5 linked regions of the Tribolium castaneum genome follow. The protein of the gene in region 2 purifies or fractionates together with the protein of the main gene of each other region. This does not show direct contact. Links are inferred from orthologs where the notes say so. Each region holds a gene or a part of one and is shown on either strand. Other genes may lie near its edges.

Evidence for each region.
Region 1: the proteins of hypoxia-inducible factor 1-alpha (region 2) and FASN1 purify together in Homo sapiens (affinity purification with western blotting; 3 studies listed by BioGRID and IntAct, with this or other methods). This does not show direct contact. The link is inferred for Tribolium castaneum from reciprocal best matches to the Homo sapiens genes HIF1A and FASN.
Region 3: the proteins of hypoxia-inducible factor 1-alpha (region 2) and Cul2 purify together in Homo sapiens (affinity purification with western blotting; 7 studies listed by BioGRID and IntAct, with this or other methods). This does not show direct contact. The link is inferred for Tribolium castaneum from reciprocal best matches to the Homo sapiens genes HIF1A and CUL2.
Region 4: the proteins of hypoxia-inducible factor 1-alpha (region 2) and armadillo segment polarity protein purify together in Homo sapiens (affinity purification with western blotting; 7 studies listed by BioGRID and IntAct, with this or other methods). This does not show direct contact. The link is inferred for Tribolium castaneum from reciprocal best matches to the Homo sapiens genes HIF1A and CTNNB1.
Region 5: the proteins of hypoxia-inducible factor 1-alpha (region 2) and yki purify together in Homo sapiens (affinity purification with western blotting; 3 studies listed by BioGRID and IntAct, with this or other methods). This does not show direct contact. The link is inferred for Tribolium castaneum from reciprocal best matches to the Homo sapiens genes HIF1A and YAP1.

Annotation. Positions count from the first base shown.
Region 1 is NC_087394.1:32,849,635-32,856,360, reverse strand, and holds part of FASN1 (fatty acid synthase), read right to left. Parts: intron 6,622-6,726; 5' UTR 6,602-6,621; coding exon 4,149-6,601; intron 4,100-4,148; coding exon 3,841-4,099; intron 3,581-3,840; coding exon 1-3,580. UniProt on the Homo sapiens protein: Fatty acid synthetase is a multifunctional enzyme that catalyzes the de novo biosynthesis of long-chain saturated fatty acids starting from acetyl-CoA and malonyl-CoA in the presence of NADPH.
Region 2 is NC_087396.1:19,215,739-19,222,997, forward strand, and holds the start of hypoxia-inducible factor 1-alpha, read right to left. Parts: upstream 4,502-7,259; 5' UTR 4,459-4,501; coding exon 4,118-4,458; intron 3,170-4,117; coding exon 2,982-3,169; intron 2,930-2,981; coding exon 2,778-2,929; intron 2,727-2,777; coding exon 2,544-2,726; intron 2,493-2,543; coding exon 2,293-2,492; intron 2,239-2,292; coding exon 2,132-2,238; intron 927-2,131; exon of another isoform or gene 415-926; intron 368-414; exon of another isoform or gene 79-367; intron 39-78; exon of another isoform or gene 1-38.
Region 3 is NC_087401.1:15,830,816-15,837,085, forward strand, and holds part of Cul2 (cullin-2), read right to left. Parts: intron 2,182-6,270; coding exon 1,777-2,181; intron 1,717-1,776; coding exon 1,462-1,716; intron 212-1,461; coding exon 1-211.
Region 4 is NC_087395.1:16,174,428-16,178,439, reverse strand, and holds the start of armadillo segment polarity protein, read right to left. Parts: upstream 2,801-4,012; 5' UTR 2,676-2,800; intron 2,641-2,675; exon of another isoform or gene 2,552-2,640; intron 2,336-2,551; 5' UTR 2,316-2,335; coding exon 2,282-2,315; intron 2,230-2,281; exon of another isoform or gene 2,167-2,229; intron 1,497-2,166; exon of another isoform or gene 1,386-1,496; intron 1-1,385. Other genes in the region: uncharacterized protein LOC660622, read right to left, coding at 3,067-3,161, 3,875-4,012. UniProt on the Homo sapiens protein: Key downstream component of the canonical Wnt signaling pathway.
Region 5 is NC_087403.1:7,360,509-7,367,234, reverse strand, and holds part of yki (transcriptional coactivator YAP1-A), read right to left. Parts: intron 1,806-6,726; coding exon 1,666-1,805; intron 1,499-1,665; coding exon 1,367-1,498; intron 1,309-1,366; coding exon 1,045-1,308; intron 818-1,044; coding exon 615-817; 3' UTR 1-614. UniProt on the Homo sapiens protein: Transcriptional regulator with dual roles as a coactivator and corepressor. Critical downstream regulatory target in the Hippo signaling pathway, crucial for organ size control and tumor suppression by restricting proliferation and promoting apoptosis.

The sequences.
Region 1 (6,726 bases), on a different chromosome or scaffold from region 2:
CGCCAGCTGGGGCCGATGTCTCCACCGGAGCGGCTCCACCACTTCCCAACTCGGTTAATTTCCCGAAAGTCAACGCTCGGATTTCCTGGGCATTGAGCACTAGGTCGTAGTTGCGTTCAAGCGTTTGCTTGATTTCGGCGCCCATTAACGAGTCCATGCCCAAATCGGCCAAAGAAGCCGAAGCCGTGACCGTGGACGCGTCTTTGATACCCAGAATATTGGCAACGGCGTCGATGAGACTCACTTGGTTGGCGTCCGCACCGGCTTTGTGCTTCTCAGCCAGGACCATGCTCGAAACCACTGCATTGGGTTGTTGGAGGAACGTGTCCATGGTAGTGAGACACGAGGCCATCCTCTGGGGCAAAGTCCCGCCGACTTCGGTATCGTTCCCGCCCATGGTCTCCAGGATAAGACCAACATCGCCGATGGCCCCCCATTGAATGGCCACACCTGGGAGTCCCGCCGCTTGCCGCGCCTCGCAGATGCGCTCCATGGCGGAGTTGGCCATGCCGTAGTTTGATTGTCCGGCATTGCCCCGTCCGCAGGAAACGGACGAGAAGTTGACGAAATAGTCGAGATGTGGCGCTAGTGAACGGGAGGCGGCGTCCAGTTGTTTGCTGCCGTCGACTTTGGGCTTGCAGGCCGTTTTGTAGTCGGCTTCGGTCTGGTTTTCCATCATGGCGTCCCGGAGGACCACGGCAAGGTTGAAAATACCGCCAACTGGGCCCAAACCATTGGCTTCTTCCAGCAAACGGCGGGCCCCTTTTTCGGTGGTGGCATCAGCGGTGGAAATCAATACTTTTACGCCTGAATCGCGCCACCTCCTCACACACAGTGACTGGTACCCGGTCTTGATCCCACTGCGGGACGTTAGCACGATTTTGGAGGCACCACGTGTGATGAGCCAGTTGGCTAGTTCGAGCCCGAAACCACCCAAGCCGCCCACGAGGACGTAACTCTTGTCCGGGTCCATGTAGGTTCGAGGGATGGCAGTCACGGTCTTGGGTTTAGGGCGCTGCGCCTTGCGACTTTCCTCGTCCCGGATCTTGAGGACGACTTTACCGATGTGTTTGCCAGAGGCCATGAAACGGAACGCTTGTTCCGTCTGATTTTCGTTGAAAACGGTGCTTGGAAGCGGCTTCACAGCCCCGTTGGCAATGCCCTCGTTAATCAAACGGACGACTTCGCGCTTATCGGGACCGTCACTGTCCAGCAACGCGTCAAGGAGAATCCCATGGAACGTGGTATTTTTCAAAAAGATGCTCATACCCAGCGGCGAATTGTTCGAAAGATCGACTTTACCAATCTCCAAAAAGCGGCCCCCGATTGCCAGACACCGCACGGACGCTTGCAGCTGGTGATTCGCCAACGAATTGAGGACCAAATCAACGCCACGGCCATTGGTTTGAGTCAAAACCATTTGTTCAAAGCTTGTATCACGCGAATTTCCAATACAGTCGTCGTTAAGTTGCGGGAACGTCTTCTTGAGGAAATCCCTCTTGGCTTGACTGCTCACTGTCGTGAAAACCTTGCAGCCCATGTGGAGGGCTATGGCAATGGATGCTTGCCCCACACCACCGGTACCAGCATGGATGAGAATCGACTCGCCTGGTTTCATGCCACCGCGCACAATAAGGGCGTAGTAACTTGTACCGTAAACCACTGGAATTGTTGCGGCTTCCTCCAAACTCCATTTCTCCGGGACTTCCCATAAAAATCCAGTGTCGGCAATCACAGTAGTTGCGAGACTCCGTGCCTCAACCATCCCCATCACTCTTCGTCCTTTACTGTCCCGTCCCGAGAATTCCAAACCGAGGATGCAGTCCTGTCCGGCCAAATCGCCAGGTAACGCGTCCGGTGGGAGTTTCCCAGTCGCTAGCATAATGTCACGGAAGTTAAGAGGGGCGTAATAGACGTGGCAAAGCTCGGATTTGGCGTCACCGCCTTTGTAGTAAGTCAAGGGGCCTTCGATCCATCTCAAACTGGACAAATCACCCCGAGTCAGAGTGTTAATGTAGGCGTGTTCCACTTGTAATTTGCCACCGTCGTGGTCATGGTCGAGCAAAATGTGTCTGAAGGAGCCCCAGACGTTCTTTTTCAAAACATTATGGACCAGATCTTTTTTCAATTGTTGTTCGTAAGCTGACAGGGAAAATTTCGGTGCGTTTGTGTCCTGGATGAAGACGGCTCGGATCCCAACACCGCCTGGCTCCTGTTTCAAACAATTGACCATTCCGACTAACCCAGTGAGTTCTTCCCCTTGGACGTACAAGTAGATTTTGCTACCGTCACCTTCACTCTTCTTCATCGCGTCTTTGACAGGTTCCACCCACGCGAAATTATTTTCAGTGATTTGGATTGCAGTTGAGTCAGAACGAACATCGACCGGTTTTCTCAATAAGACATAGCTTTTCGTTGGCGTGACTTGAGTACTCACTACGATGAGCTCCGTTGTTGACAATTTGCCACTGTTAATGGCCCCTTTGGGTTCTTCCAGAAGCACGAACCCGCCGTCTTTGATACAGTTGGCGGCATTTTCAATCAAATTAATTTTGCCGTGTGTTAACGCATCGGTTAGCACGACAAGGTGCAAGTTTTGATCGATTGGATTGGAACTAACGTCTTTGTGGACCACTTTAACTCCACTGCTTTCCAAAGCTGCGCTATCAATTGAATCAGAGGTTACTACAGAGGCGTCAACTGCAAGCATAGGTTCCCGTTCGAGGATATCTTTAACACTTGGTGCTAGAATCGCTTCGACCGGTCGTCCACTCACAACTTCGGCCACTTTGAGTTTCAGGGCCCCTGAGCTGTTTTCGAGCACCGTTTGCAAAAGAACAGTAAGGGCATGCGTTTTAGCCTTGTCTTGATTCTCGCTGAGTGCTGTGTTATTTTCAAAAGGCACGAATTGGTATTTTTCCAATTTGGGTGGTGATTGTGCTTGTTGGCGTCTGGGGGCCAAACTGGCCTTCATTCCGCGGAGCTCAATACCCCCTGATTTGATAACCCCAATATTGCGGTACATGTATACACTGGGATCTTCCTCTTTGAGGCCATTGAGGTACTGGAGGTGTTCCTTGGGGTTGATCACACATCGTTGCAGTCTAGTCGGGAGGTAAAGCTCGCGGGTGTTTTGCCCCAAGATGGAGAATTGGAGCATTGTATCGATGTAACTGATCCAGTTGTTGCTCCATTTGAGTTTTCCGGCGATTCCTTTGTTGTCGGATTCGGCAATTCCGCGGAAAACTCCGTCGTAGTCGTAACCGCGTAGTCGCAGTTCTTTGTAAATGTCGGCGGTGTTCAAGGGGAGTAAGTCTTTGGTTACTTCAGGGGTGGGTTTGGGCAAGTGCAGGAGTTCCTTGGAGACGTCTTCAGGGACGGAAATGCGGCCGGAGACGGCAACGGAACCACTTTCACACAGTTCGAATTCGCCAGTTCCTTCGAAAATGTTGATGAGGAATCGGACAGTGCCCTCTTTTGGCATGATTGTCGCGCGGTGGAATTGCACATCTTCGATGATGACGGGCAACTGCTCGTAGTCCTCGTTTCGCAGCTTGGCGAAGGTTTTCCATACGAGGGTCTAAGGGACAAAATAAAGTCAGTGTTAAAAGAATTATTTTTTACATAAAGTTGGTGTTTTAGATAGTTATAACAATAAAATTGCCACTGCTGACTGATATCTTGTCAAGAACAAAGTGTCTATTGAAAGATAAATTATTTCTAATGGACTATAGGTGTTAGTTGCGTATCTTTACATTTACTTTCAGCAAACTCCAAAACTTACTTTACGGCTGGTTAATTTTGTTTTACTGATTCTTATGCAAAATTTATAGAACGTACCAAGTAACCCGTGGCCGGGAAAAGCACCCTTCCCTCTATCGCATGACCGGCCAGGTACTGGTCATCTTCTTTGCTCAAATCAACTTCGATGACCAATTCCCCAGACCTTGAGCCCTTATCGCAGAAATTGGCCACGGCCCATTCGGTGGAGTGGTCCCACTGGATCATGGATGCGATCATGGGCGTTCCCTTACCGACCGGGAAGCTTACAGGGTGGTACAAATTGCCAACTTTAGGCTGGGCCCCAGCATTGTAAATCCTAAGAAATCGTTCAAAAATCTAAATTTTTACCAAAATTTTCAACTCACCGTCCAATTGCCGAAGTCAAAAACTCCACATTGTTTTCGTGCATCCGTTTCACCAGACTGATATTGGTGGACTTGGGCCCAATGGCACGCTTGAGGATACCTTGCAAAAGCCCAGCTGGTGCGATTTCAATAGCAATGGCGTTCTCAGGGACGTGTTTAAGCGCCTCGTGGAACAAAACGGGTGATAGGAGATTATTAACGTGATAGGCCGCTGAGCTTTGCTGTGCGAGAGGTGTGCCCCAGGCCGATTCAGGGATCGAGGACGAGATCCAGCGTGAGGTTCGTGGTTTCGGGTTAGGGATGATCGCCTCCAAGGCTTTGCGTAGCTTGGGGCCACCCTCGGCTATGTATTTGCTGTGGAATGCGATATTCGAGCTGTTGACTTTCTTGGCGAAGATATTTTCGGATGTTAATTGATCTACGAATTTATTGACGGCGTCCAGAGGTCCGGAAATTGTAACGTTGTCTTCGCTGTTGTGACACGCGGGGAACACATCAGGCGGGCAACGCCTCTTGGCCTCCTCCCATGTCAGGCCGACCGCAGCCATCTGTCCCGGGATTAGTTTACTCTCGATGATGGCTCTGCCTCTGGCGTAGGCCGCCAGGACGGCCTGTTCGGCCGTGAAAGTCCCATCGGCGTAAGCACAACCGACTTCGCCCACCGAATGCCCAACGATACCATCGGGCTCGATTTCCAAAGCTTTGAGGACGTCGGTTAGAGCGACCTGCATGGTGGCGATTGACACGAAGGAGTTGAGGACATTTTCGAAAGTCGCCTCGGTTCCATTGACTATAATATCCTCCAGGTTGATGCCGTGGGGTTTGAGGATTTCAGCGCTTCGTTTGATCGAGTTTCGGAACACTTCCACTTCCATCAGTTGCTTGGCCATGCCGGGCCACTGCGACCCCATCCCGCTGAACACGAACCAAACTGGTCGCTTCTCATTCGAGACTTCTGTAACTTCGCGAAGCGCCGGGTTACTGAGTACCGTAAACCCGCGATATGCGTGTCCAGTAATGTTACTTTTATGGATTTGGTCGATTAGAGCCAGGAACTCTTCGTCGTTTTTGTTCTTCTCGACATGGTCCAGGAACGTGTTTACCGCCTCAGGGGTGCGTCCGGAGACGCCCACCACTCGAGGAAGTGGGTCCGTGGGCCAGGACGCCTTCGGCTTTGGGTTCGATTTCAGGATAATGTGAGCGTTGGCTCCGCCAAACCCGAACGAGTTAACACCAATCAGCCCGCCTTTCCAGGGCTCGTTTTTCGCCACGACTTTAAGTCGACCGTCTAAGAGGGCGGGAATGTCGGTATTTGGCGATTTGAAGTGTAAATTTCCGGGGATCATTCCGGACTCCATGGCTATCACGATTTTGGCTAGGGAGCAGAGCCCGGACGCCGGTTCCGAATGCCCCATGTTGCTTTTAACCGAACCGATCATGAGCGGTTCTTTGCGGTTCTTGGTGCAGAAAAAGTCAGCGATTGAGTTGACTTCCTGGGGGTCGCCCACTTTGGTGCCGGTGCCGTGGGCCTCCACGTACGAAACCTCATTGGGGTCGACCCCAAACTCGGCATAAGTCTCTCGGATGAGCTGGTTTTGCATGGGACCGGCCGGGAATGTAATCCCCTGTTCCTTGTAACCGTCTGTGTTTATTTTGGCCCCAAGGACAGTAGCATAGACCCGGTGCGCAACACTGGCTTTTTGCAGAAAGACAACAACTGCGGCTTCCGACCTCACGTAACCATTCCCAGAGGCATCAAATGCCTTGCACATGCCTTGCGGACTCAGCATGCCCAGTCGGTGGAATTGCAACGAAGACGTGGGTTTTAAGAGGAGATTAACACCTCCAACTATGGCGGCATCACATTGCCCGGTTTTAATCGCAGTTATGGCTTGCTGTAAGGCAACTAAACTACTGGAACAGGCCGTATCTAGAGCATAACTCGGGCCGCTGAAGTCAAAAGTGTAGGAAATTCGGTTCGAAAACATGGCCCGGCAGCAGCCGGTCAGGCCGTAGCCGTTGATTTTGTCGGGGTCTTGGGTCCAGTATTCGGACGACTCGCTGTCGGAAACCCCGATAAAGACCCCGGTTTTGGAGCCCTTGATGTCGTTGGGGTTGACTCCGGCGTCCACGATCGCTTCGTAGGTCAGTTCGAGGAGAAGTCTGAGCTGGGGGTCCATCACGGTGGCCTGTTTGTGGTGGACGCCGAAGAAGGTGGCGTCGAATCGCGACAAGTCTTTGAGTTTGCCGGTGCGGGCCGGGAGGGTGTAGAGACCTGAAGGCCATCGTCGTGCATCGTCGGTTACTAGATCGACACCATCGAATAATTGTTGCTTGAATTCTTCGATGTTGCTGCTTTCCGGCAAACGGCCGGAAATTCCGGTGATGACGATGTCGTCGCTGATTGCGTTTACGTGGTGGCCGTTTTGTGCATCGGGGACTCGGGCAGGCATCGTGATTAATAAATTAAGTTCTGAAATTTTTCAACAATAACTTCACAATTTTGCAACAATGGACGAGGATGTGACGCGCAATTGGCTCATAAAGAAGTCGTAGAAACTCCGAGCGGTTATTTTTA
Region 2 (7,259 bases):
CGTACAATATCAGTAATTACAATTTCAATCTCAATCAGGTAAATATCGAGTGTAATGAATTACCATTTTCTCTTTCAGTTTCAGGGCAAATGGTACGAAGTGGCGAAATATGGCAGTCCGGATAAATGTGCCACTTATTTTTTCACGCCCGTTTCTGGTAGTTTCACAAATGTAACGCGCTTCAGCGGCACGAAAAAAGATGGCTATAAGTATACGACGTGCCTTTTGGCGCAAAAAAATCCACACGGCATGGAGTGTGAGATGCACATAGATAATAAGACCATCCCAGCCAAAATACTCACGACAGACTATAGCAATTACGGTGTAATTTGGACCTGTCGTAATGTAACATACGACACAAGTTACCGTAAGTAAAAGTCTCTTAAGTGACAAACATTAAAATAAAAATTTCAGAAATGCTAGTTGTGTTAAGTAAATACAATAATACGAAGCTTAATGATTTGAGTGTGGTTAAACGTGTTTTAAATGAAACAACTTTGAGCAGTGACCCCGTCAAATTATCAGAAACCGATCAATCCCCATTTACGTGTAGTAAAAGTGTTTTTAATAACACGTTCACCAATTTTACTTCAATACATTCTGGCAACTCTCAAGTAACCACAAATTATATCGTCGTTTGTGCAATGTTTGCGCTTTTTATTATTAAGCTGTAACTTTTACTTTCAAAATATTCCAAGTCCCAATAAAATTCTAGCACAAGTGCAAATGTTTAAGATTTCTGTACACTGTTTTGGTTCCTGTATAAATGATAAATGTAGCGGAATTATTTCACACTTAATGTAACGTTCATTTATCAAATCCGAGTATTTTGAAACACAACATTGTAAATTACGTTTTATTTTAATATTAGTTCAGATTATTATTTATAAGTATGGGAATAAAAATAAATACATGTGTAATTTTAACTCCTTTAACACGTTCATTGCCTTCCAAACAACATTTATGAATCTGCGAAAATAAAAATGAACATTTTGCCAAGAATTTGAGACAGCTTGTAATTTACAACTGAAGTCATACATTCCCAGCGTGATTTTAATAAATGAGCCCATTCTTACATAAATAAAAATAGATAAAAGTTAAATAAGAACTCATCATATTCTCTCAACCGTTTACGATTTTGAAGGAGATAAGCGAAAAGTAAGCAAGTAATACTTTTCGTAACCCTAAAAACTGCGATGAACTAAACAAATCAATTGACAAAATATGTATTTACTATTGTAAGTACCAGCTTTAAACTTTATCGAGATTTTATTTTGAGCAAATTAAACAATAAAATGTAATATAATCGATTTATTACGTTACGTAAGTGCCCAATTGTTGAACTTCCTCGAGATAACGAAAAAATTATCATGGTTTGAAACCCTGTTCTGATTCACGTGCTAAAGGTGATTTATACCAGCAATAGCTAAAGAAAACTGTTACAACAAATAGCTCAATGAAACGAATATTTTTTTACTTTAGTTTTATTACTTTTTAATTGAACAATTACCTGGAAAATTGTGTTCAAAATTCAACAGTTTTATTATTTATTTATTAAAAAATATAACGTTCAGTCGCTTAAAGAAAACTGTGATGGCCTTAGCAGATTATTTTTCTTAAAAAAAAATTAATATGAATTACTGTTGGAGCGTTCTTTGACCTGTTTTTAAATTTGTTTTCCATCAGAAAATCAAACAAAAAGTTTAATCCAGTTAGGTGCAAAAACGCCACCTAACGCAACATACCAACACTGCTAATAGAGAAGATTCCTACCGTAATATACGAAATTGTGTAAACTTGTGAAATATTTTGAAAACAAACTAAACAGGAAAACACATTTACCAAATGGGGAGATAATTTTATGGGCATTTCAGGCAACATTCCTGCTTGTTTTCCACACTTAAAATTTCTCTCAATTTCTGATTATGGGAAGACAGTATAAAAAACTAAATAAATCGTCACCAAATATTTGCTCCTCCCGGCTTTAAAAATAAATAACTGCAATATGCCCAATCTTTGCACAAATAATTCGCAGTGCATGTCTAATAACCGCAGCAGTGATTATTTTGAATTGCCAGACCAAGTGTGCAAATGCTGTAAATTACACAATTTTTTCTTATCAAATACTTACAACACTTGAAAGCTGAACAAATCGCGTCACTATCCATGGCATGGTGATAGTCATAAACCGATTTCCCGACCAAATCTTCCGAATCGTATCCCAAAACATCCATCATTCTGTAACAATTTACGTAAAAACCTCGTTAACACTTTGGTAAACATAATACACACATTTTATCGTCAGCGTGCGTAAATTTCATATCCAAACTGTGTTTTGTTAAGAATGTTTGACGTGGTAATGGGGCTTCGATGTTGGAAGGATGCGGAATAGGTTGTCCTATTGCCACAAGACATCGGCGCAAAGTTCCTTTCGCATTTTCTTCATTTCCGTCATCTTCAGTTTGCACTATGTGACCAGTGCAATGGATGACCTGAATTGACCAAATTAGCAAAATTTCTCTGCACAGTTTTCAGCTCAGTACCTTGTAAGTCGCTGATTTGAGATTGACCGATCGGCCTTTGCTTGTAAGAGTACACTTAAGCCTGATAAAAAACGACTTAGGCGTCTCTGTTTCTTCCCGGGTCTTTGTTGATAAAATTTCCTTGATTTCGTCATGATCGCACGGATGACTGTACTCAAAAATATTCTGACCCATCAGATCAATCTGGAAGAAAAAGTCAAACATCTTGCCCAAAATCTCACGTTTCCAAACCACCTGTGTAATTCCAAGATACTCGCTGACATTCTCAGACATGTAAACAATGTCTCCCTCTGAAGACATCACCAGTAAAAACCCCTCTAATGCTTTCAAGAAAATTGATTCATCGGTTAAAATTTTGTGGTCGTCGGGCTCCGGGGCTTCCGGGACTGCAATTTTTGTTAAATAAGCGGAATTTTAAACTGGGGAAGAACGTTTTACCCAAAGTGATCATATCCCGCACCCGCAGATATGCAATGGCCAATCTCATAACGGAAGCTTTATCCAATTGCGAAACCTGTTCTTGTGAAATTGGCAGAGCGTTACCCAAGTCGGTAAAAACTTCGGTTTCTTTGGAGCGACGAGATCGCGCCGCATCTCTGGATTTTTCCTTACGTTTCTCATTATTCCTGGAATAAGAACAAAATTAAGCGAAACGAAGCAACAAACAAGTATTAACATTTTCGCTAAAATAAACACACAACTCTTCAGGCTCCTACCACCACTCGACTAAAATTTGATTATTTAATCATTAAGTGTTCGCCCAAACTACTCATAAGAAAGTTTCGCGAGAAAACACATGACAGACCCCGTGCCTGGACTTAATCCAAGAATACCACAAAAAACGAACTAATCATGTGATTTTATAATTGTGATAAATAAGTTAATAAAATGTATAAAAATAAAAGCGATGCATATAATTAAAAATATGCCTAGTCATTAATTTATTTTCCTTTCTAACTTTTCATAAAAATTGGCATAATCTTACAATGACAAAGTAGACATTATTTTTATTCCACTTCCTCTACAACCGACTTTAAAAAAACCGCAAACATTAACGACCACCTGTTGAATGAAAACTTCCAGACAACAATAAACTAAAATTGAATTAAAAAAATAGACAAACAAAATAAGGAAAATATCGGTGCCGTTAATAAATCCTAGGAAGTGTTTTTGCGATTCTTTACGTTTTTTTTTAAGTTACTGTCTAGCCATTGTTACACAAAAACCCGTGGAGATAGTAAAATAGTGGCACTTAAACTACAATCAATTGATAAAATCTAGCCTCTAATGTCAATCGGCTAATTATACTATTTACTGCCGCAACAATAAAATTTATAGTAAAATTAATTGGACTGATTAATTGTCATAATTAAACTATTGGTGAACATTTGTATAAAAGTTCAAGTGTTCTTCTTACAAAAGTTTGCCCTCTGCATACGAAAATCGATTACATAACCTTTATCTAATTGATTAAATTAACTATTTCCAACCGGTAAAGTGACGTCCCTTCAAGACAATGCTTTTAATTATTTCTCGCTGTTATCGCGGCATATTTGCCCAGCTGCGCCACTTACATGAAGTCTTCAATATCACCAAATTCAACAAACTGGCAAGTGTTATAGCACCCATCTGCATAATAACTATAACACTCTGTATAATCCCAATTGGAGGACGACTGGCACGGTAAGGCCATGCGAGCCAGGAGACCATTAGGTCTAATCCGACTGTTATGTCGATTTGGAATCGGTTCAAGGGTTGCATTATTTAATCCATAACTGGTCGCACAATTCACATTTCCCAAGTAAGGGCTCATTTGTGAAGTTTGTTGAACCGCGACACCGTCTTGTGGAAAAGTACTACACTCCATTTTAGTTAACTGTCGATTAGTGACGTTAAAAGTGGAGAAATTTTTCATAAAACACCAAAATATTGAACTGACACGTGCCTAAAAACGCGAATTTAACCTACATTATGTTTTAGCCGAGGTGATACTAACTTAACCGTAAGCTTAAGTACTGTCTTGTGGCTTATCTAATCTTTTGCACTTGAAAATCATATTTACTGATTTTTTTAACTGTTATCAACAGCTTTTCGTTAAAAAGCATACATTTCGTCTCTAGATTTTCCTCCCTATGGGTATGCAAATAGCCATATTATCGAATCTTCAATTGTGCTTATAACGTTATTGAAGTAACAGTTGGGATTCATGAATAAAACATAGCAAATGTGAGAGAAAATAACCAATAGATTGTATTCGAAACCCCTCTATCTCTGAGCGTTTACGAACCCTTTCAATAAGCTACTTTTATTTACTTTTTTGCTAAAGTAGCTTTTACTATAACTTAAAAACCAATAGTCGGGAAGAAATCAGCGTTTCCTATTAAATACTTTATATTTTTCTCTTAGCATATGAATTTTTTCATTTAGTTTCGAACAGTGAAACCTTCAAAAATTATTGCAAAAAAGACGCTTTTTGTACTTTTGAATTTCTTAAAGATCTCTAGATGATAGTGTCAACTTAACTACATATTTAAATTTTGAAAAAAAAATTGTTAAAAGATGAAAGGTTTTTCTCATTTACTTTGGAACTCACGTATAACAGAACGAAAATAAAAACAAAACTTAAATTTTTATTCCTAATTATACTCGGACGGAAGACTAACATTTGGCAATTCCTCAATTAATTCGCGATATACATTAAATAAGATAATTCTTGATTCTTAAAATCGAGAAAGTGTGATCCCATTTATTTTAATACGACACGCAGCTTCCACGAAAACTATAATTAAGAAGCAGCACATTATTAAAGAAATACGTGCTAAAAGTAACGTTTTAGCGACACAAAAATCAAAGCTCTGTTTTTTCAACATGCAAATCATGTTAATAATACAGCAATCCCGGCTATTAGACAAGAGATTGATAAGCCAATTCCACGAAATACTAAGGAGCTTCGAGCAATTTAGCATTTCTAGACCTTGGTCTTAGTGATGATTTTATTTATGAACAAAGTGCGAAAAGGAAAACAACTATTTTAATTATTCTTACTTAGACATTATTGCAAATCACCGTAGAGGATAGCACTACAAACCAAATATTTACGGAATGTTACACTGCAATTACCTTATACAAAGTAAACATTATAAAAATGATTTTTACTCAAGGGAAAAATTAAGGCATTGTAAAGTACAAAAATAATTGCTATCGTCTGACGACCTCAATCTAACGGAATAGTTATTATCATAGTCGTACTATCACCAGATGATAAATTTGGACCATACTTCAGACTAATAGTCCTAGAGATACAATGTAACAATACGCTTATCGCAAGCCAAATTCGTATTAAAATTTATTGGGACGGAAAGCTATTATAAATATCGAAATGTCGAAACCTATCACTTTACATTATCTTTACGATCACACTTGACGAGAAAAATCTTTAGTTTTAATTAAAATTTTTCCAAAACCCTGAAAACAACAAAGTCAGTTTATTTAGTCCACAAAGATTATCAACGATTAGCATCACTTCTGTCAATCTCCTGGTGCCTCAAGAGCGATTTTAGCTACCGTTCCTTCAAGTATCTTGATAAAAACTTGACATTTATTACAAGCATCAAGGCTATTCAAGCCTTAACCAAACGTTACATTTAGAACAATTTGGTTCGAACACCGGCTGTTTACCGCCAAGTAATCAATTCCGAATATGACTTAACATAAAATTAATCTATTTTTAACGACTTTGAAAAATTTTCGAATTTTAAAAGCATTAGTTCGGTCGATTAACGCAACAAAATTCCTCCGATGTCCATCACTCGTCACTGAAATTATCCAAAGTCTGCAGCCCCGCCAAGCAATTTTGCGACATCAGTGATGACGTCTGTCCAAGACATACAAGGCTATATACAATCACAATTCAATGCTCTTGCTATTTCCATCGGGCTTGCACACGTTCGCAAACCACCGGATGTGGACAACTGCACAAATCAGCCGTACCGTTCAGAGAAACGGAAAATTTGCATCAAAAAACGGAATATTTTCATACCAAACACGTGTAGAAAATTACAAATCTGTAACCACTTGAGTTCTCGACAAGTACCAAGTCCTGATCTTTAAAATCGGATTAATTGGACAATTGCATATATGCATTCGTTTTGCGGTGAGTTGCATCCTGTTTGACGCCTAAACGGATGATTTTGATTCAAAGCTCGGAACTATAGCGGAACACAACCGAATGGAAATATTACAAACAGGAAGACTGTGGTTTCTCATTCGTTCTTCGAATCACCTCATTGATCAAGGTAAATGAGACAAAGTAACGTAATATAAATTTTAATTAATTGTGATCATCAACGCTTTGTTGCGAGCTTTCCGTGCGTAAAACCAAATCAGAGTCCAAAAATTATCTAATAACAGAATTTGGAAATATCTAATCTTCACATTACGACCTTGACTTGTTTATTGTACTTCCCACATTGCAACATGATGCACTTCTCTCTGCAATTAGCAATTTTTGCATTAGGAGGTTTCAACACCTGCATAATGCAACTTAATGAGTGAAAGTCTAAAAACTTTCATACATTTAAACTTTCAAGATCAACAATGCAACACTACGACAGAAATTCACAAACAAAGCCTTCCAAGGTAAGAAAACATCGAATCATCGCGTGATCTTATTCCAAACGTCTATCATACGATAAAAATATATTATTTTGAAGTGCA
Region 3 (6,270 bases), on a different chromosome or scaffold from region 2:
ACATATCGGTAAACATTCGATGCAATTTACTTGTAAATTCGTAACCGCATGCTTGTTTTAAACGATTGATCATGGCCTCCTCCGCATCCATACTTTGCGTTTGTTGGTGGATGAGGCGTTTGGCCAACATTCGAGAATAGAATTTTTGAAATACGTCTTTGTCGTCGATATATTTGAAAATTGTTATGCTCTCGGCGAGCTTTTCGTCCACCTGGAAATAATCGTTTTTTCATAACCAACGAGGTAAACATTTTTTTTTATTTTTCATGACCAACGCGGTATACAATTTTTTTTATTTTTCATGACCAACGCGGGAAACAATTTTTTTGAGTTTTCCTGACGAACAGGAAAATCGAATTTTAAAAATTTGATTTTCCAATTTTTTTTATTTATTATTATTAAAAAAATTAAATTAAAATTCCAAATTTTATGGATTTGTAACGTTGGGAGATTAATTTACAGCAAGGAATATTTTCAAAAATTTAACTTTAACTGCCGTAACAACAACCAATGAGTCAACCAAATCTCTTTGTTCACACGTTTGCAGATAATATTTTTTTTGTTAGTGACGTTTTATCCGGATATTCTTACACAATTATTACGGATGTGCCGTTTTATTTTAATCAGTTTGTCACTTGCTAGTGTCGCGTACGGACGTCTTATAAACTTAGAAATTAAATTAAAAAAATCAACATTTTGCTAACTTTTAAATTTGTGTTTAAATAAATAGTGCGCGATTTTTTAATTATAGTGAATGCCAATTGGAATAGATCTCTGAAATCGTGTTACAAGGATCCGGATTAAAGGGTTAGTTTGAAAAATTTTTTTACAGAAAAATTACATTAAATTAAATTAATGACGTCCCAGGTTAAAATTACACGGAATTTTTGAATAATTAATAATTAAATGAGCAGTTTAAACATTTAATTTATATAATTAATTTATTTCTTTTGTAATTTTAGTTTCATTGGTTTGTACATTAAACTTTTTTTTCATTTTTTTATTTTTTGAGGATTAACTTAAATAAATAGCCTTGACTCACAACAATATCTAATAAATAAATAAGTAAAATCATAATCTTCTCAATTATTTTAAGTGCAGTTTCTACATAAAACCAGTTACTCGTATTTTTAGATTAATTTTATTGTTACCATAATTATATAGATTTTTTTTAATTTCAGTAAGTTCGTGTATGAAGATGAGGCTTGCTATAAAGGGTAGCAGAAGTAGATGCCTAAGGTGAGTGTTTTTTTTTTCGTATTGATTTGTGTTTTTATTTATTTATTTATAATTTATTTTTAATGCACTTTTTTGCGAGACCCTGTATAATAAATAATACGAATAATCTCAAAATAAAACTTTTGACAACAAAGTTATTTAAAATTAATCAGTTCTTCAACAGTAAATAAATAAAAACAATAAAAGTTTTTAAGTAAAAGTAAGAAAAAAAATCAAACTTACCTCCGAATCGCTAATCCCTTTACTCGACTTGCGCAACAATGCGTCGCAATACTTGGCCAAAAATTCGGGGCTTTTACACACAGGCTTGCCAAACTTGTGATTAATAACGGAACTGCAGGCCTTATCCAAAGCCCCCATAAAATTCTGATCCGACTTGAACACCTCTTGAATCAACAATTTATATTTTTTATAAACCGCTAGCATATTTTCGACGAACGTTATGTGAATATTTTCGGTATCAATATTACCAACAGCCTAAGAACAACAATAAAAAAATCCCTAAATCGGTAAACCACTCGTGTAAAAGCAACAAACCGTCAATCCTTGCGTCTTAATATGGTCCAGAACGGTATCAACAAGCACAACCATTGCATTTTGGACGCTTTTGAGCAGATCGTACATATTTGAGAGGTCCTTTTTGCGCTCACCCTGTACCATTGCCACGCATTCGCTGTATAAAAAGTCCAAATGTTCGGCCACCATGTGTGTTTCACATCGTTGGGAGACTTTCGGGAGGGAACTGGTGTGGAGGAAGCGACGTGCACGTAACAGTTCCTCCTCAATTCGTCCCTTGACGCGCTCCATATACAGGGAGACGTTTTTCTCTTGCAAAAGTTTGGCAGCGTCGCGTTTAAAATGCTCGCCGCTTTCTTTGAGGAACGGCTCCTCAAATAACTCCTGGTACAGTTGCAGTTGGCCCTTTTTCTTGTAGCCCTGCACCTGTTTTCAATTATTGTGAAAAATTTTGTTAGAAAAATAAAAATCATTCAAAATTACGTATGTATGCAAGATTACAGCACATTCGAATAACACGAACTCTCGCAAATTTGTGTCAGAAAAATTAAACAGACAGATAAGACAATAAGCAAGTTAAATAAGAGCTTTAAAAAACACTCGTTTTAGGCGAAATTTTGTCAAAAAAATTGGTCGGTAATGGTGTTATTTTTACGCAAGATTTGCAAAAACAAAGCGAAAAATTACGAACTAAACCGATAGCTTTGGCCTTTTTGGCTTGATCAAAGTTTTAGATTACTTTTAAGTCAGAAATAATTACATATTTCGCAAAATTTCATTAACGACCACTTCAGAAATACGCCAAAATGAGTTTTTTTTAAGTTTTTGAAGCCTTTAAGTACATTTTATAACTAAAATTTCGACAATCGCTTAAAAAACACCCAACTAGTTCGGAAATTATATTATGATTTTCCCTTTTCGGTCGTTAATTTACAAAATAAGTCAAAAAATCATCAAATTTCGCCGAAAATCGAGTATTTTTTGCACGTTTCTGCGTTAAAACAAAGTTTTTTCGAATAAACGGACGGAAAAATCACGTAATTAGATCGAGTTTTTAAGTTATTTTAAGTTGAATGAAAAATAAAAAATACGAAATACTCAAAACTAGACTGAAAACTATATTATTTTGACATTTTCAAACTTTTAAGCACGTTTTTGAGTTAAAACAAAGGTTTCTCGAATAATAAGGCTAGAAAATCACCACATTAGATCAAACTTAATGTTATCTTAGCCTATTTAAGACGACTTACCTCATTTTTGAGCAAAAAACAACGCCAAAAGTGACTTTTCTGTTTGCATTCCTCGAAAATTTCGCTCGTTTTTTAGTCAAAAATTCATTATTTCAGAAACTTTAGTTAACAAAATCTCGAAAAATCACCAAATTAGAAGAAAAACATCGAGTTATTTTGTGCTTTTTCAAGCCTCTAACCATGTATTTTAACTTAAAAACAATTTTTTTTCCAATTAACTTGCAGAAAAACCACCAAATTATATTGAAACTGATGTTATTTTAACTTGATTTAATTCGTTTGTAGGCGAAACTTTATTAAAAAAGCATTATTTGGTTGATTTCGCGCCTTTTTGGTAAGTTTTTGAACAAAAATTTCTAGGTGTTTTCAAAATTTCGCTAAACCAAAACCAAAAAAAAAACCAAAATAAAGTCGAAACTAGACCGAAAATTATATTATTTTGACATTTTCAAGCTATCAAGTACGTTTTTGAGTTAGAAACAATGTTTTTCGAATAAATAAACTAAGAAATCACCAAAACTAGATCAAAACTAATGTTATCTTAGCCTATTTAAGACGATTTACCTCATTTTTGAGCAAAAAAGAAAGTCAAAAGTGACTTTCTGTTTGCATTCCTCGAAAATTTCGCTCGTTTTTTAGTCAAAAATCCATTATATCAGAAATTTTACTTAACAAAATCTCGAAAAATCACCAAATTAGATGAAAAATATCGAGTTATTTTGTGCTTTTTCAAGCCTCTAATCATGTATTTTACCTTAAAAACATTTTTTTTCCAATTAACTTGCAGAAAAACTACCAAATTATATTGAAACTGATGTTATTTTAACTTGATTTAGTTCGTTTGAAGGCGAAACTTTATTAAAAAAGCATTATTTGGTTGACTTCGCGCCTTTTTGGTAAGTTTTTGAACAAAAATTTCTAGGTGTTTTCAAAATTTCACTAAACCAAAACCAAAAAAAAAACAAAATAAAGTCGAAACTAGACCGAAAATTATATTATTTTGACATTTTCAAGCTATCAAGTACGTTTTTGAGTTAGAAACAATGTTTTTCGAACAAATAAACTAAGAAATCACCAAAACTAGATCAAACTTAATGTTATCTTAGCCTATTTAAGACGATTTACCTCATTTTTGAGCAAAAAAGAAAGTCAAAAGTGACTTTCTGTTTGCATTCCTCGAAAATTTCGCTCGTTTTTTAGTCAAAAATCCATTATATCAGAAATTTTACTTAACAAAATCTCGAAAAATCACCAAATTAGATGAAAAATATCGAGTTATTTTGTGCTTTTTCAAGCCTCTAATCATGTATTTTACCTTAAAAACATTTTTTTTCCAATTAACTTGCAGAAAAACTACCAAATTATATTGAAACTGATGTTATTTTAACTTGATTTAGTTCGTTTGAAGGCGAAACTTTATTAAAAAAGCATTATTTGGTTGACTTCGCGCCTTTTTGGTAAGTTTTTGAACAAAAATTTCTAGGTGTTTTCAAAATTTCACTAAACCAAAACCAAAAAAAAAAACAAAATAAAGTCGAAACTAGACCGAAAATTATATTATTTTGACATTTTCAAGCTATCAAGTACGTTTTTGAGTTAGAAACAATGTTTTTCGAACAAATAAACTAAGAAATCACCAAAACTAGATCAAACTTAATGTTATCTTAGCCTATTTAAGACGATTTACCTCATTTTTGAGCAAAAAAGAAAGTCAAAAGTGACTTTCTGTTTGCATTCCTCGAAAATTTCGCTCGTTTTTTAGTCAAAAATCCATTATATCAGAAATTTTACTTAACAAAATCTCGAAAAATCACCAAATTAGATGAAAAATATCGAGTTATTTTGTGCTTTTTCAAGCCTCTAATCATGTATTTTACCTTAAAAACATTTTTTTTCCAATTAACTTGCAGAAAAACTACCAAATTATATTGAAACTGATGTTATTTTAACTTGATTTAGTTCGTTTGAAGGCGAAACTTTATTAAAAAAGCATTATTTGGTTGACTTCGCGCCTTTTTGGTAAGTTTTTGAACAAAAATTTCTAGGTGTTTTCAAAATTTCACTAAACCAAAACCAAAAAAAAAAACAAAATAAAGTCGAAACTAGACCGAAAATTATATTATTTTGACATTTTCAAGCTTTCAAGTACGTTTTTGAGTTAGAAACAATGTTTTTCGAACAAATAAACTAAGAAATCACCAAAACTAGATCAAACTTAATGTTATCTTGGCCTATTTAAGACGATTTACTTCATTTTTGAGCAAAAAAGAAAGTCAAAAGTGACTTTCTGTTTGCATTCCTCGAAAATTTCGCTCGTTTTTTAGTCAAAAATCCATTATATCAGAAATTTTACTTAACAAAATCTCGAAAAATCACCAAATTAGACGAAAAATATCGAGTTATTTTGTGCTTTTTCAAGCCTCTAACCACGTATTTTAACTTAAAAACTTTTTTTTTCCAATTAACTTGCAGAAAAACCACCAAATTATATTGAAACTGATGTTATTTTAACTTGATTTAGTTCGTTTGTAGGCGAAACTTTATTAAAACAGCATTATTAGGTTGATTTCGCGGCTTTTTGGCAAGTTTTTGAACAAAAAATTATATTATTTTGACATTTTCAAGCTTTCAAGTACGTTTTTAGTTAGAAACAATGTTTTTCGAATAAATAAACTAAGAAATCACCAAAACTAGATCAAAACTAATGTTATCTTACCCTGTTTTACACCGTTTACCTCATTTTTGAGCAAAAAACAAAGTCAAAAATAACGTTTTTTTCGAATTCCTTCAACATTTCGCTCGTTTTTCAGTCAGAAATTCATTATTTCAAAAATTTTAGTTAACTAAATCCCCAAAAATCGCCAAATTAGACCAAAATTATCGACTTATTTGTACCTTTTCCAAGCCTTTAACCACGTTTTTTAATTTAAAAACAAAGCTTTTTCGAATAACTAACAGAAAAATCGCCAAATTAGATTGAAATTGATGTTATTTTCACCTGATTTCGTTCTTTTAGGCACGTTTTTGAACAAAAATCTCTAGGTGTTTTCAAAATTTTGCGAAACAAAACCAAAAAAAAACACAAAATAAAGACGAAACCAGGCCAAAATTTTTCAAACTGAACGTTTTTGAGTGAAAAACAAAAGTTTTTCGAATAAACAGGCCAAAAATCACCACATTAGGCCAAAAATCACCACATTAGGCCAAAAATCACCACATTAGGCCAAAAATCCGAGTTATTCTGTGCCTTTTATCAGGTTTTTTA
Region 4 (4,012 bases), on a different chromosome or scaffold from region 2:
TTTCCTAATCTTTTTTTAGTTATTTTACTTGATAATCCCTGAGTGTGGTTGATTTTTTTTTCACTCAGACAAAGTAGCATGGGATTTTTTAAATGTTTTGTAGCAGTTTGGAAATGAACAAAATGAAGTTTTATAGTTATTAATAATACGAGTACAAAAACACAAGCTTAATGTTCGAGAGCTGTCGTTATGCAACGAGCGTATGCGAGTTGCATACCTAAACACCAGAGAACATTAAGCTTGTGTTTTTGTACTCGTATTATTAATAACTATAAAACTTGGCCGTTTATTTCCAAACAGCTGCCAAAGTTATTCAATTTTTTTGTTGGAACATTTTAATTTAAAACACGTTGCTTTAGAAAGCGTGTTTTAAAATAGTGTAATCTAGAATTCAAATGTTAAAAAGAAGGCGTAAAATTGTTACTAACAAAAAATGGTATATTTTAATGTTTACTTGATTTATTATCCAACTTTTTTCAAAAAAATTGTAAGAAAACATTTCACTTGGTTTTTGAAATGAGTTAAAAACACAATTTTAAAGGTGCAGTCAATAACAAATATTACTATGATAATACTTTTGGTTACAATTTTTCTAAATAAGTAACAATAAAGTATTCTCTTACGACGTTGTCACTTTTTGTTTTTTATTTCAACTTTTGTTTACAAAACGAAAGGTTTTGTGAATTTTTGTATCGCTTTTTATTTAATTTTATTTTTGTATAGCTCTTAAGGTTGAACTATACTGGACTCACGGTCCACGTGGCCGTGCGAATGCACTAATTTGAGAAATTTTTTTAAGAAAAATAATAAACAAAATTGTTTTTTTTTACAATTGGATGTTGTTCCTAGGTTAACATATTACTCATGGACCAGTTCTTATCTCGATTTAAATATTTGTAACCAAGTTATAACGGGGTAAACAGCGTAATAATCTTAATGCTTTTATGGAAAAACCTAAAGTTCAAATAGTATGAAAAAATACAGTATTACAAGTAAGTCATAAAATACCCACAAAAAAAATTATCAAAAAATATAGTACCATTTTTTATTAAAAAAATAAAATGACTAAAAATTGAGGTTTTTTCATTTTATTTTTAAATGATACTAACAATTTTTTTCAAATGGATGTATATTGTTGCTAAAGTTCTCAGAAAGTTAACATATTTTTTTCAAGCAATTTGAACTTACAAATTTTGCGTTTACGCGTTTGCTTGAACAGTTCCTCTTCGGATAGTTCAGCCGTAAGTGCCTGTCCGCAACTTTTGGCATACACGATAAATCAATTTTGTAACTTCATAGGAATAAACTAGAATATAAGAATAAACTAAAATAAACTATGCTACTGTAACCAAATAAGTAATAATTCAAAAATAAATTGTACCTACTTTGTAGAGTTAGTAAGAAAATTCAATTGCAATTTAAACAGTTAAACACTTGCTTCTTTCAATGTTAGCGTACAAAACCGTTACTCAGGTATATTGCTTATCGTTATCAACATATCTGTATTTTATTTAAACATTGAATCATACCAATACTAACCACGTATCTAATATATGGTTAAAAAGTTACTCAGGAGAACGAATACATGTAAATAAAAGATACTAAAAATACGAGATAGCAGCAAAATTACTTTCGGAAAGATCACCAAATACACAGAAAAAGTTTTCACTTTAGGAAAACGACTCCAATATTTTCATACAATCATGTTCTGTAGGCTTATTAGACTGATATCTAGTCAAAAAAAGGGTCAAATACTTGCTAAATGTTGAATATACTCTAAGAACTCTTTATTTCTATGTAAGAGAAGATCTTGTACTAACTAATAATGGAATAAATATGCTTATTAAATTGTAATAAAATATAATAGTATGGTACTTCCTTAAAGATTATTTCTCTAGAACGAGTAAAGAAAGCCCATGTATTATACACAAATTTTTTCTTAATTTTTTTATGAGAATGTATGATTTGTATGAATAATAGGCTCTTAGTCACAACTGGGGTCATAGATACCGAAACCTCCACAAGAAAAAGTGGAAAATAATCAAACAATGAATTATTGCAGAGGAAATAAACTTCTTCTAACAATCCAATTATAAACACACCATCTGGAATGGTTTTTAAAGGGAATTCTCATTGTAACCTTTGACTGTAACCGAATAAACTTACATTTGAAGGATGTTTATCAAACTGGAAACCTCTCTCAATAAGTGTTTACGAAACCTTCACACACTGATTATAATTAATTAACACCAAACAATTAAAATACAAGAATGCAACTTACTGGGTCTATTCGGGTTGGACTGTAAGTAACTCATGGCGAATTACCACACCACACCTGAAACATGGAATTCTCTGAATCTCATGACCAATCTCATTGGAATTTCGAGCAGTGACAAGGAATTGCCGGATGAGGAATCGTTACGTGCTTTCAAACCGAAACATTTAATTAAACACCAGACGCTTCGTTTGTGTAACGATCACAATTTCCAAAGATTGCAATCACAAACCGATCAGACATCGGACTAAATCAGAATCAGAATCACCCACTCACAAAGAGATCCATGTTGTCATACACAGTTCATCGACATTTTTAAAACTTGGCCAAACCACACAAAAAACTCACTCTCACACTTACAAATGAATGAAATTGATAATTTTACACCGAAATAACTTACCTTGCGCCACAAAATCACTTTTTCCCTTTAAATTACGATAATATACGATAACGAACACAACAACACCGCACCCAATCACAAATATCAGATTGGCTGGCAGACCTGTTTACAAGATGCTGAAATGTCAAAGGGAAAAATCATTGATTTTAAGGTAAAAATCTTTATTTCATGTATCAAAAAAGCAGCAAATGTACGGTCGTGTATAACATTTTTAAATACAACATTAGAGTATAAAAAAACGCTAAATTTATAATTTCTAAAGCTAAACTATGGTTATGGTGTAAAAGTACTTCAAGTAGCGCGGCGCCATCTCCCAATCAGATGCCGCACTCATTCAACGCCCACGACAGGAATCTTTAATTCATCAAATATTGTTTCCTGTTTTTATCACTTATTCGTTTGAAATTAGCATGGCGGGAGGAAGAGTGATAGCAGCGTGACCTGATAAGGTCACCGGTAAATCGGCAATGCCCCTTATCCAAGCACCTAAAAAATTAACACTGTTGCAATTTTCTTTTCACACAGTGCGACGTTGCCATTTTATCAGGCTAGACTATGAAGCTTAATAATTTATTCACTACGGAAGCGGTATTAAGCTTTGTTTGGGTAATGTGAGACGAAAACAAAGTTTACATAATGTAGTATGGATTTTGGATTAAGCCAACGCAAACTTGGCGCACTGTAAATGGGGAAAATAGAAGTTGTTTGTTTCATTGAGAATGTGGAGATTTTTAAAAACTTTGCACGCTTTTGTATGAAAGTCCCCGCATTTGCATTCATATGTGAAAAACGTGAATAATAAACTTACGACTTGGAATGAGTTTTAGAAAGTTAAGTATGGAAATGGTGTGACAAAACGCTCGACTCTGAATTATATTATCTTAAATCAGAATTACTCCCAACTTTGTTGGATTCTGTACACGACGACAAATTATTTCTTGCGCCCACACAAGTCTGTTCTTGCTATCGGGTGTTTTCCATAATTTAAGCTCTCAAGTTAATTATTTTCTGCCTTTTTAGGTATTGTAATTCATAAATTCTTTATTCCGAGTTATTCTCCAATTTCATTTAAAAATTCATGAAGTGAAATAAGAGAGAACAGACAAGCTCTTGAGGTATATTATTTCTCCCGAGTAACCAGCTTTTTATGATTTTCCCTCATAAACTGACACCCACTTTCTCATTTAGTTTTCACTTACCTCGCTTCCAACAAAAACACTCAATGTTGGATAGACATCTCATATAAATGGTTGTGACACCACCCATGATAAAAATCTGGGTACCAACATACGCAACAGCATGACCATGTCGTGGTATAGTCATGCCCATGATGGTCC
Region 5 (6,726 bases), on a different chromosome or scaffold from region 2:
TTAGTTCAGTGTGAGCATATTTATACGAGTTGAATCCTTCGCGATGCAACAAGTCTGGTCCTGGGAGGAGCAGGGGTGCATTGCACATACAGTAACAAGTAAAATTAAATAGGGATACAGTTAAGTATTCCTACCAATTAATAAAATTTTGCGAAAACATTATCACAACGTTAGATTTGGAACAGAGGTTAAAAGTTATACATGACATAAATAAAAATTGTTAAATAATTAACTCTAATACAACAATAAATAAATATTGAATTTTGCGTTCAGTACTCAATAATTTGATCGATATCTTACCAAAACTGACAAAATATCATCTGCACCATAAACTACAACTCTAACTTAAAAATTACAAACTATAAAATACATATGTATGAAAAACATACCCAACAGTAACTGATTTGAGAATTACAAATGCGATAAATGTAAAATTATAATAACATTAAAAATATGTTTTGATTATTATTGCCATTTAAAGCGTATTCAAATGGTACATATTGCAAAATAACGATACAGACGACAGTCTTTACCATCCAACTGCCAAACTTTGTCTTAAATTTCTATCAATATAAAACATTCGTAGAAGCTGAGCTACTTAAGTAGGCACTTTATTACAACCAAATGAGCACATTGTCGGGCTTCGTAGTCGGCGGATTTATTAACGATTGTACATCATCGTCTAAAATGACAGTCGGGAACTCCTCGCCCAAATCAGTCGGGAACTCTTCGCCCAGTTGGAGCGAAGGCACTAAATCCTCCGTACAATCAAAAAAATCCTCCGGCGTGTGAGGCATCGAATACGTCGTCCCCAAACCTGCAAGTCAATAACCCTTAGGGGAGAATTGCGTGACCAGAACGCTATTGATCAACGAAAACACCGAATTCTTGATCAAAATGGCGCCAAGCCAAATTTAAAGCTTCGCACATTCTTTTTCAGTATGAAATGATAATCATTTGGAAATATCGGTGTAAACAAAGCAAAACAACATTTCTCGCACATTCCGCGCCGCGAAAACACCCACCAACAATCAAAAAATTTACCTAAGCCGCTGTCGGCGGACTCCTGCCTGGAGTGGTCGTTCAGAAAGGGGTCTAGCGCTAAGTCGTTGGAACTCCCCCGCATCATAAGTTCCTGTTGCATTCGAATTTCTTGCTGTCGCAATTTCAGTCTGTCACGTTCGAATTGCAACAGTTGTAGTCGAAACTGTTGCTGTTTAGCCGGCGAGGATTGCGACAAAGAGCCACTTGGCCACGACTGCCCACTAACCGAAGCCGTGCCGGGAGATCTCTGTTGCAAATGTGTGGCTGGAAAAAAAATCCCAGATCGAAAAAGCCCCTTTCCCGCCCGTGTGGCTTAACTTACGAATTCGAGGGTCAAACCACGAAGTAGTACGTGTTTGATGATTTATGAAATAAATTTCTCCCTCAGGAGTTTGTGCCTGCTCCCAACCTTCAGGCAAAGGGCCTAAATCTACGTCTGTACTCACTTTGGCAGCTAGAGAAAACATTTTCCCCAATTTAATTATCAGGATCAGGCAAATCAGCAAATGGAGTTCAAAACTTTCAACAAGGCACGAGCTGCCACTTTTGGATTTTTTTGAACTGCATTTGGCTCTATCATCAAATTGTACCAGATTTGGCAGAACCATCGAAACTACTTACGGGGCGTGGAATTGGGGGCTTGGGCCTGCGACACCTGATGAGAACTTAAAAGCTGTTCGGCACTTTGGTGTTGTTGGGCTGCCGCTTGCGCAGCCAGCGACTTTCGCGGGTCTTCCCAAGTTGTGGTCCGAGTTATGTGGCTGCAAACGCAATTCCAACGTAAAACAATGTGCTTGCCACTAATGCGAAAGGGTTTTACCGACCAACAAACTAATGGCATTCTTAAACCGCTCCAAAGTGGAGAAAGATGCGAAACTAATTGAATTTTAAGGAGAATTTCATTTTCTAACTTAAAACAAAAGCCACGGTATTCGCAAGAGTCCACCACAGTGCCAAAATATTTCATTGTTTATCCGAAATAACGTTCAAGATCACCAATCTTTATTCAGTACGTAATAAAGCAACCAACAAAAACCTTCAGTTTTTTACCTGCCCAAGGATTGGAGAAAAGGACTAATTATCCCAATTTACAAGAAAGGGGACAAACATCAAGCGAAAAATATTACTGTTTACTAGATGAGAGACTAAGAGCAGAAATGCATGGAAGAGGCATGATAAGCAAAATAATCCAAAGGTGTGCAAGTGGTTGGTGAGAAGAATAAGAGGAAATTTATGAAGAAATAAAAATTGGTGAAGAAACAAGGTTGTTCGTTAAGCTCTGCATTATTCTTATCAGGCCTAGGGGACATAGGCGAGGTTCTAAGAAAGGCACAAGTTGGTGGAACAGTATAGGCAGAGAGAAAGTGCAAATCCTGGCGTTTGCAGACGATTGTAGCAAAAAGCAAGAGCGAGATGAAGGAAATGATAAAAATAATGAAAAGATACGTAAAGTAAAAGTAGATAAAACAAAAATGATGGTGTTTGGAAAAAAAAAATAGAAAGGAAAAAGGATGAGTGGCAATTGGAAGGAAAAAATATAGAACAGGTGAAAGAGTTGAAGTATTTGGGTTATGTAGTAAATAGCAAGATGTCAGACAGCCCATATAAAAGAAGCTCCAAAAGAGCAAATAAGGTTTTAGGAGCTTGGGAAAACGTCAATTTGGTGAAAATACAAGAGAAGAATGATGTTTGATAGCTTGGTGAAAAAGTATATAAAATGAGTGATAGCGCTAATTGCCGGGGTACATAGTAAGAGAGGAATCAGGAAAGAGAGCTGTGAAATTTGAAGAGAAATTAGGAATTCGGAGCAGAAATGAAAACATCAAATGAAAATGTTAGATGGATAGAATTATGGAAGAAGGGGTATGCGTGTATAGAAATTGAAAGAAAGGGGAAGAACAATGGAAGATGAACTGAAACTGAGAGATGCGGACATAGATGGGCAGGGAAAAATAACAAGCATAAGAGAATTGAGGTATAACGCAAAATATGCCATGCTTATTAACGATGAACTCTCCAAATACTTAAGTAAGATGGAAAGTAAAGATAAAAAGGGGAAGTGAGGAAAGGGAGAACGAATTATGGAATTATGGATTGAGACAGAATATGCAGATTACGTGGAGAAGAGACGGAGACGTTAGACGTTCTAAACGAAAATGGTGAAGGAAAAGAAGAAAAAAGAAGTGTAAATATACATAATGTAGAATAACAAATAATTTCGAGAAAAGCCACATAGACAATAAAGACGTTATATAACAAAAAATAGTAATAGTTTTTTACTTTCAGACAAATGGCTAAAATACAGATTAGTAGTAGGATCAGCAATTTATTTTGTTTGGAAAACAAACATTTACGTGAAACGTCACACAGAAAGTGGATAATCCCCCATTGTTCGTTTTTTAATTGATAAGTGCTACAACAAACACTTGATTATCTCTATTCCACGGAAAGATTAAACCGTGGCGATATGAAATCTTGACAAAGGTAATAAATTTAAAAAAGAACAAACAGCCACGTCATAAAACGAGCAAATATTTTTATCCCTAAGCCTTACAATCAATTATGCAATAGTAATGAAAAAGTCAGGTTCACACGATTTTTGGTCGAACGCAACACTTGTTTTATTTTTAACTTTATCAGTAGTGTAAATAAGAGCGCCCCTTGACCTGGCATTGAGTGAAATTGAGCCACCCTAATACATGCCCATTTAATTGATTTAATTTAATTTGAAAATGCGAAAGAAAGAAAGAAAAAATGTGAAGTTCGGTGAAATCAATGAGGAGAGTTGGAAAGTTTTCTTGAAACGTATTTTCTACAAACGATTTGCCAAATATTCTTGGAAGACGAAATGAATGGCACTGAGTCATTGAAAAAGTAGAAATCTACCTGTTTTCAATGATACATGGATATATCGACCTTTAAAGGCCAAGCCAGGCAACAGGAAGTGACACGTGGTTGTAAAAACTGAAAATAGGAGAAAATATGATCCAGTGCCAATAAAATAAATCTCTATTATTAGCCAAAGTTTTGCTTTATCATATTATGTAAATTGAACGGCAACATGGCGTCGCTTTGTATTTCGGCAACGGCAAGTGGGAATCAGTGGCGCCAGCGTTACCTTAATCAGGAGTTTATCAGTGCAGTTTGCGCAATTGTTAATTAATTGGTCAAAAGTGGACGTTAATCATTTGGAAAAATTTATACGGCACCTAACTGTAAATTGTTATTCTTGTTAAGGAGCAACTATTTATTATTTATTCTCGAATGCGATGACCTTAAAAATGTTACAAAGGAAAGATATGTTATATCGCGTTTACTTTCTAATAATTGATTGGGATAAAGACCCGTGTTTGCAATCGAGACAATGGAGAATACCTAGGAGTGGAATCCACATCTGGGTGGATTTTAATAACAGTCCACCACATACCTACGTGTACTTGCCTCTCTGAAAAATACATTCAACAATCAATGCGTCAGATACCATTTAAGACCACCAATCAATTTTAATTTAACCAAAACACAGCATTAATCTAGATGCTGTGAAGTTTGAACTTTACTCCCAAAACCTCGATGGGTCTCAACAGGATACGAAAAATCTGATAAGCGCGATCACATGGAAAGTGGATGTAGCAGCTGATAATAACAAATTAGCCGGCGCTCGAACCCGGCCTCTGACGCAATTATCCACTAAATGAAAAATTCACGCCTATTACATATCGATAAGTTGCGCGGTTTTTAATGAGGCAATTGTGGAAAAGAAAGTGCGATTTGGTAAAAGTCCATATTTAGTTAATTATCGAATTCCCCGTCACATGTTGTGCGACGCCAATGGTTTTCCGGGATAAAAATACCGCCACAAACTAAAAATATCACAATATAGCCACACTTATTTCAAGTAAAAACAGAACATTTAATTTATTCAGAGAAATGTTGTACAAACGTTCAGAAATTTTAAATTCCAATTTAAATTCAATCTACAAGTTTTGAGAAATTTAGCCGACATTAGCTCCGTTAGTTTATTCAACTACACATAAATAAAATACAGTACTTCAGCGACATATTTTAAATGTCAAGGACCTTTGTTTGTGATTTGATAACAGGGACGCGGGATGGCTTTTCATCACCTTGCTGCGAACATAGGAAACTGATTTAAAACTCGCGAGCTTGGGAATTTATTTATAATAGCGGTAAATTTTAAACGGGTTAAGGTTAACTCACTGGGAAAAAATACAAACAGACGCCATCATGGAAAATGGCCGACCGTGCCAAACACTGGATTAATAATTCGTACGGAAGTCCACCATCGTTGTGAAAGGATTTGTACGTTTCGTAACCATAACAGACGTATTCTGTTACTTTTAATTAATTCATTCATACACGATCGGGAGGTGAAGTTTTCATGGCCGACGAAGGCCCGAATTTTTCCCGACGCGAGACCGTAACCATGTAACAGAATTAAAATAAATAGAGCGCACCACAAATAATTAGTGATAATAGTTCTTTAAGACAAACAGGGCTAATTTCTTAATTAGCTACTGCTTTGTTCCAGTTTGAAACAGCTCAAATGAGCTGACTCGAAATTTGGTCCCGCAGTTGGCGAGGGTAACACCTCTTGCTCACTTCTGGTTTAATTAAGTTGGTCCGCACGTGTGGAGCAATAAAACAAATAAATAAGACGCTAGAAGTGTAAATAAGTTCATTATTTTGCTTGTGCATTCGGCAAAAGGTTCGACGTCCGACTTAGGCGCCTAGAATTTTAAAATCTAAAAATAGGCGTCTCGGCGACTAATTACATGGATGTGGAATAGAAGCCCTAACTGCCAAAATGTGCGATTTTCGACTCGAATCACGCGAAAAACTAGATTTGTTTCAATCAAACAAAACAACTGACTCATGTGCAGGGCCGGACTCGAACTCTTGCCAATATTCACACAAACGAGAGTCATTTGTTTATGCAAGACGGTGGGATTTTTGCCATAGACAATCTACAAGTCAATTGCGGTGCCAAAACACTCATTTTGCATACATTTCAAAGTATTATGTCCCGCCAATGAATATTTAACAATCGGCATAGATGAAAATTTCGCTCAATCGACCATAAACTTATTTTCCCAGCACAGGAATGCGTATTGTGCGCTTTTATAATGTTATCACGCACCTGAAAATCGCGCAATTATGTAACACGAGGCTTATTTCCGCCGTTATCAGAAAACTCTCCAAGTTCGAATTTAATCTCAGGTGTGTTTTGTGTTTGCTGCGTCTTGCGCTACGTTGTTACTACCGTTACATCATAATACGAATGACCTTATATTTTTGAAACCTATCCATGTGTGAGCTTGAAACCTATCCCAGTTATTATCGCGAGAAGCGAGAGATTTCGATGCGAAATGCTGGAAATAGAGTAGTCGAAAGAAGAGCAAGATGGCGTATCAACAGACGAGATGACCTTCGCTTTCCTTCTAGCATATATCAAAAAGATATTCGTGTTGTTGGCTTACCTGAGTCCGAGTTAAAACATTTCATTTGAATTTTCGAGAAAAACAACGTAACGCTAGATCTGAGTACAGTTTGTAAAACAGCATTCCACGTTTGTGTTATTTGCATATAAATCTATTTTATTAAACTATTCTCATGCTGGCACCCTATTTAATGACCCCTATGTGATACTTGACAATTGAGCGA